2 linked regions of the Daphnia pulex genome follow. The protein of the gene in region 1 interacts with the protein of each later gene in a biochemical or structural test. Links are inferred from orthologs where the notes say so. Each region holds a gene or a part of one and is shown on either strand. Other genes may lie near its edges. The genes, in order: peroxisomal targeting signal 1 receptor-like and peroxisome assembly protein 12-like.

Evidence for each region.
Region 2: the proteins of peroxisomal targeting signal 1 receptor-like (region 1) and peroxisome assembly protein 12-like form a complex in vitro, tested with the Homo sapiens proteins (2 studies listed by BioGRID). The link is inferred for Daphnia pulex from reciprocal best matches to the Homo sapiens genes PEX5 and PEX12.

Annotation. Positions count from the first base shown.
Region 1 is NC_060028.1:9,644,747-9,648,346, forward strand, and holds the start of peroxisomal targeting signal 1 receptor-like, read right to left. Parts: upstream 2,696-3,600; 5' UTR 2,514-2,695; intron 2,451-2,513; 5' UTR 2,393-2,450; coding exon 2,249-2,392; intron 2,171-2,248; coding exon 1,739-2,170; intron 1,680-1,738; coding exon 1,460-1,679; intron 1,395-1,459; coding exon 1,246-1,394; intron 1,189-1,245; coding exon 1,032-1,188; intron 968-1,031; coding exon 813-967; intron 754-812; coding exon 656-753; intron 585-655; coding exon 458-584; intron 388-457; coding exon 346-387; intron 268-345; coding exon 231-267; intron 162-230; coding exon 41-161; intron 1-40. Other genes in the region: NSFL1 cofactor p47-like, read left to right, coding at 2,876-2,977, 3,041-3,153, 3,218-3,397, 3,457-3,563.
Region 2 is NC_060025.1:2,868,863-2,872,216, reverse strand, and holds peroxisome assembly protein 12-like, read left to right. Parts: upstream 1-1,217; 5' UTR 1,218-1,373; coding exon 1,374-1,499; intron 1,500-1,558; coding exon 1,559-1,667; intron 1,668-1,752; coding exon 1,753-2,296; intron 2,297-2,357; coding exon 2,358-2,475; 3' UTR 2,476-2,581; downstream 2,582-3,354. UniProt on the Homo sapiens protein: Component of a retrotranslocation channel required for peroxisome organization by mediating export of the PEX5 receptor from peroxisomes to the cytosol, thereby promoting PEX5 recycling.

The sequences.
Region 1 (3,600 bases):
CTAAACAGGATTGGAGAAAGAAAATGTTAATCTTTATTACCTGTGAGCACCTAGGTTGATACAGGAAACTGCCAAGTTATAACGCGCGCGAATGAAACCAGGCGACAGCTCTAGAGCTTTGTAATATGACTCAATGGCCTCTTCAGATTTCCCTCCATTGGCTACAAATAACACGTAAATCATGCATACGTTCTTATGTAAGACTATTCTATGTAAGAAAAGCTAGTCACCTAAAGTTGCTCCGAGCCGATTCCAAAGCAAAGAATCCTGAAAATAGGAATTAACAATAAATAAAATCATAAACTTGAAAAAAGTACATGCAAATAATAAATCACCACAACTTACATTAGGTTTCATCTGAAGAGCAGCCCTGAAACAATCGGGAGCCTAAAAATTGAAGCAATGCAGCCAATTGAAAAAATCAAGAAAATCGAATAATTTCATAAATGCATCATACTTTATCAAAATCCCCAGAGAGATTGAGAAGTACGCCTAAGCCAGTTTGCACATCGGGATCTAAGTCTTGGGAAGGTTGTAATCGAGCTGCTGTTAAGTACATATCCTGAACTCGGTTAAAAGTATCCCTAGGTAGAATTTAAAACTCGGGTAAGTTTGCGCCGTAATATCACAACAAATTAGAAAATATTTCCTGTACCCAGAAACTAGGCTTGTAAATGTTCTCTCCCGTTCGTTAACCCTGGCTGATGAAGGAGAGGTCAAGTGTCCGTACTTGGGATTGTTCCGCAACCAGTCCTAATAATATAAAACCACCTTTAATGTTGTATGCCTTACACTAATTGGAAAACAATTACCTCCAGGGCTTGGCAAGCTTGCAACTGGTAAGATTCATTTGTGTAACTTACAGCCAGACCCATCATGGCAACAAGATTTGTTGGTTCCAATGCTAAGCAACGCTTGTATGCGGTAATTGCCCCTGGATCTTGTTCGTTTTCGGCAAGAGTCAACCCTAAAATAAAAAACAAGCTAACTTTACACAGAATCCTGGCATATAAATAATTAGATATTTTTACCAAGAACTTCCCAAGCTTTCACATGTTCAGGATCTTTTTTTAGAGCTGCCTCAAACAGCAAAATGGCACTTGGAAGATCACCTTCTAATCTTTTTTGGAGACCTGTATTGTAAGGATCCGCGTTGTCTTGGTACGGATTCTCTGCCTCAAATGTGTACTAAAAACCAACAGAAGTGAGAATCAAGGAACTAGTAAATACCATGCGCATTATTACTTCACTTAACGGATCTTGTTGCGTTTCCTTAAGCCATCCGTAGCTTGCAGGGTTGTCGTCGGCTGCTTTTTCCCAGTCTTGTTGAAGTTGTGACCAGAAGTCATCTTGAGCTGGATTTCCGCCCCTAAACACTTCAGCGCTGGCACCGTCTTTATATATGCAAAAAAAATTACAAGGATGAAGTTGATTAGCTACTTAAAATATATAACACTACCGCTGAATTCTTTTGTCCATTCGTCGGCCGAATCAGGTTGACGATTAGTTGTGAATTCAGCAGCCCAGTCTTGATCTGCACTGGATTCTGGCTGTCTTGTTACACCCTCTGAGCCAGAAAACTCCTCCGCCCAGTTTGAATTACTATGAGCGGTAGTAGTCCGAGGTTCCGAGGTCAAATCCTCCTCCCCTTGATTGACCTTGTGCATAAACTGCAAAAACTGAAAGCTTTTTTTCAGAAACTTTGGTCAGGAAAGGGATCATGCGCATAAAATATTACCTCAGATTGAGCAAATTTTGGATCTTTCATTCTGTCAATAATTTCTCCGGCAGTTTGGGCTAATGCGCCAGGAGCAGAAAATCCCGGTTTTTCTATATGAGAGGTTAAGCTATCCCAATGGTTGTCCCACTCTGCATAATCATCTACAACTCCCATATAGCCAGGACTGTCCAGAAACTCCTGACTCCATCCACTAGCAGAAGGTAAATCTTCTGGTATCACATGAGGTTCTTTCCTCAAAAAATCTTCAGCCCAGTTTTTGTCATCAAATGCATAATGGGCTACATTTGGTCCTGGTTGAATAGGAGGTCTAGCAATTCCTTGTGGCTTTTCCAGATCCCTCATCTCACGTAAAAGGCTATCCATGTTAAAGGCACCTCTTGATCCTACTTGAGATGGAGGTGGAATACCCTCCAAAAATTCTCTGACCATCTAGAAAATAGTTGAGATAAAAAAAAGATTTGTGAGAGAATGCTTTTTCTTTAGACAGTGAGTCAGGAATCAACTTACAACATCTTCTGGTCTCGGTTCAGGGTGTCTATGTGAAACAGGTACATCCTGACGAAATCCTTGATCTCTGGTAAAATGTGATGCTACTTTAAGCATAGGATTCCTTCCACCACAATTTCCATCAACTAATTCTCGAAACGCCATTCTAGGTACTGATGTCCGAGCTCAAGGTCTCCAAACTTCTTCCTGAATGTATAGCTACCTAAAAATACAAAACAATATATTAGTTTCTGTTACACATGTGTCATTAGAAATCATGTGTTACCTAAAAAGAGGGTCTAGCTCAAGAATGGTTCGGTAATAATTTCCCAATACTATTCATCAATATAACTTATGAAAGCAAGTTGTTAAGATATCGTGTGTATGTCTTATCACTGTAACTTCTATCACTCTGCAAAGTCACATCCACACCAATTTCGTACAACAAACAACAAAAGCCACCTAGTGAATAAAGGCCATGGTGGTATAGATGGCTCTGTCGGTCATGAAAAACATTACGACTTTTGTTCGAAATCCCGATCCGACGAGTCGTCAGCTCTGTCCTTCGTTTGGTGAAAATATTTTAGTCTTGAAATTCTGCCTAGTTTTGCCTGTCTATTGTAATTACTCAATACATTTAGTTTGAACATGTCAGCGAACGACGAATTAGTTGCCAATTTCCGGGAAGTAACTGGGATTGATGAACAAAGGGCTCGTTTTTACCTAGAGTCATCCGGTTGGCAATTAGAAGTATACTAAGACAGATTAAGAACAGTTATGAGCATTCAATAAATAAATCACTTTGATTCTCAGACAGCCCTTGCCAGCTTCTTTGAAAATGATGGAGCTATGGACAGGCAAGCTGGAGATGGAGAAGATGAACCTGTTGAAGTTCCTTCAAACCAACTTCCAGAACCCCCATCAAGGTATTAGTTAATATGATTTTTCACATACTGTAGTGCAGACCAAATTTTGAAAATTTAATTATAGAGGTGCTGCTGCTGTCCATAAACTTGTAGAAATGAATAGTTCTTCTGATTCGGATGAAGAGGGCCAAGCTTTTTATGTTGGAGGCTCTGAGAGAAGTGGTCAGCAAGTCATTGGTCCACCACGTAACAAGGGAAAGCCTTCTGGAGATCTCATTGGAGACATGTTCAAATCAGCCAGAGAGTGGGTTTACTCTTTGAGATTATTACAAGAAAAATGTATTAACATTTTCTGGATCCTAGGCATGGAGCAGAAGTTTTGGAAAAGGGGGCCTCAACCTCAACCAAGGGTAATCAAACATTTAAAGGAACTGGATATCGTCTAGGGCAGAGTGAAGAGGATACACAAGGTAGTTATCTTTGCCATGAAATAACAGCACCATGACA
Region 2 (3,354 bases), on another chromosome or scaffold:
CGAACCAAATGGAAAAACCTCTATCGAAAGTTTTTTCTTTTTTACGATTGGTTTGCCTGACATTTTGCCTACCAGAATGGTGTTGACAGAAAACGAGTTGTCGCCGTTCCCCACCAGACGACACTAGCGTAATAGGGAAGCCGCGAGAGGAAAAGTGGTGCACGCCTTGTGTGATATATTGCACTTGTGCAGTCAGACATGGGTTGGTTCGTCCCACAGCCCGACGCCAACGACATCTAGGCCCGGAATATCTTGATTAACTGAACGCCATCTTGGGAAAGAAACCTAAAACAATAACGTTAAACAGGGGCGTCCCTAAACTGCGAAAGCGAAACGCGAAACGCGAAACGCCTAAAATGCGGAAAAGCTGTGCGAAACGGACCAAAATTTTGGGACCGTTTCGCGGGACCAAATGCCGGAGGGCATACTAAAGAGCGAAACATCTTGCGAAACAAAAAGTTTTCCTTTTCATCACAGAGGTCCAAATTGACGGAGATTGCCGCCATTTTTCATTGTCTCCCGCTATGATGAGGCATTAAAGGAGGAAGGGGGGCAATCAAATTCGATTTCTTCGCCACTACCCCTGTATGTTTTCATGCGCATTTTACGATTATTAAACTAATGAAAGACATAGAGCAGCACGTTATGGTGATATTTTTAAATAATAAAATATTAGGTAATGGCCCAGGGATTATACATTACATTAAATAATTTAAATCAACCAGTAGGTACGTGCACAAAGAAAGAATCGGCCATAACAGTATGAGTGCCTTATATCAAGCTAAAAATCAAAGCTACCATGTTCCAAATCAAGCTAAAATTCAATCAGCTAAAACTTTCCTTAAAATTAAGAATGTTAATCTGATTGATACTGATACATGGAAACGAGAAGTTCCATTAATTTTTTTTATACCAATCTTCTAATTAAAAACACCTATTGCATATTGCATTCAAGGTATTTCGTATTCATGGTCAACACACAAATAGACCAGCGGACCAGCCATAAGGTGCGCGAAACTCGAAGTCTCGAAAATTTGAAACTCTTAACAAATTGTTTGTTGACGGCGTCCATTGTCGTCTGCTACCAAGACGTTTACACTGCGACGTTTCGCACACACCGATTTCGCAGTTTAGTACGGACCCAAAGACTAAAATGCGAAACAGGGTCCCAAAATTTTGGTCCGTTTCGCACAGCTGTTTCGCATTTTAGGCGTTTCGCGTTTCGCGTTTCGCTTTCGCAGTTTAGGGACGCCCTTAAACAGTGCTGTATTTTTGTTTGACACAAAAAAAGCAAGACAAATTCATGTAATAAAAACAACATTATGCCGTTTTCTTTTGAATAAGCAAGGTTTTTAAATTTGAGTACTTACGTTATGGCTGAAAGAGGGGCGCATTTAAGTCAGTTACTTCTAGATTCTAGTAGGCCATCGATTTTTGAGTTAGTTGCTCAGGAAGGACTTAATCAAGCCCTTCGTGGGACCATAAAGTTCGTCTTCAGGGTACGTTTGTAACACATTCAATTGAAATAAAAGAACTACCAACTCTATATCAATTGTAGGTGTGTGCTAATCATTATCCAGAAACATTTGGTTTATCATTTCGCTGGGCAAATGAAATTCAGTTACTATTTGATTGTTTTCTGCAAAACTATTACCTACGAAACTATGGTTTGTTGATAATTTTTCTTCAACTTATTTACATTTTTGAAATACGTCTTTGTGATTTACAGAAATGTTGTGCTTTTTTTTTCAGGAGCTTCATTTGCTGAAAATTTTTATGGATTAGAACGAGTCACAAAAGAAGACTGCACTTTGAATGGGAAAGGAACACTTCACTCTCTAATCAGTTTGACAATTCTGCCATATGCCTTGTCCAAATTAGATGCCTACTTTTCAGAAAGGCAGCAGCACAACCAGCAACATCCTGTTCTCAACTTTTCGAGTATCCGGTTCATCTATGATTTGACAGTCTTAGTGAACTGGATGCTCTATACATGGGGCAAATCTGTGACCCATTCACCTATTTTGCACCTTCTTGGATTGAAGTTAAAACATGGTGGTGACAACAGTAGCCCTGGCATTTCACTCACTAAAATAATTGAACTGAGTGCCTTCTTCATCCAATTTCTTGAGTGGTGGTTTACTAATCAGTCATCACAGGCTAAGAGTATGCTTTCCTTACCCATTCCACCTCCTCCACATTCCATTGTACAGAATCAACACTCCAAACCAAGGACTGGTGTTTGTCCCCTTTGTCAACAGCAATGGAAAAATGAGTGCGTTCTTCGCGTATCAGGGTAACTTAAATCATTAAGAAATACTTCGAACTGTAATTATATCTCACCATTTTTTTCACAGTTATGTTTACTGCTATCGCTGTATTTTGCCCTACCTAAAAGAGAATAACAAATGCCCCATCTCCAAGCTTCCAGCATCCCCAAATGACCTGATACGTATATTTGCCAACGCCGAGTAAACAACGTCCCAAAGATTTGCAGATTTCGATCCTGTGGAACAAATTGCACAATATTGATGTTAACTTACTTTCAAACAGATACATATAAATACAAGATTGAAATACATCTAGAAACATAATTAAATAAGTACGAACGAATTCCATCGCATCATTTATTAGACTGGTATCTCCATCGAAATCTTTTAAATATATGGGGAAGCGTTTCTCACATTTTACTCAAACACAAGCAAATGAAACAATACTCAAACAAATGTAACCGACGGATAGCTGGGCGTCTTTTGAGACCTCGAGGACATAACACAAACGGAAAAAAGGTAATAATAAAAATAAATAAATACATAATACGACGTCTCTTGCTATGTCCTTTTTCCCTTCTTTCACTATTCCATAAATGTATGCTTTTTTAATTTTGTTTTTTTAAAGGTGAGGTCGCGGTTTTATTAATTTATTCACTCTCAAAGTACGAGATGATGACCATCGGGATGTGGAATGTTCACCGTATTTTTGTTTTCATCGAGCTTTTTCATGAAACGCGGAGTAAATTTTAAAGACGGCCAAACCGAAACAATCGAGTGGAAAGCGCAAGTTTCCTTTCATATAAAAAGTATAAGGTGGGAGGGAGGAGGGAGACGAGGAGGGAGTGAGGACTGGAACAAGAGTGCAGGAGACGGTCGCCATGGATCCCCACTCGCTGACTACATTACACGATTCACGATTGGATAATAAGAGGAAAGCAAGAGTGGGATCATCAAACAACACTATTGCACGTGATAGAATGATAAAAAAAGAGGATGAAGAGCAGTGTTGATAGTAAAGTAAAAGAATCAGAAAAACAAGAGAGAAAGAAATGTGAAAATAAAGAGATAGATATAAGAGAAA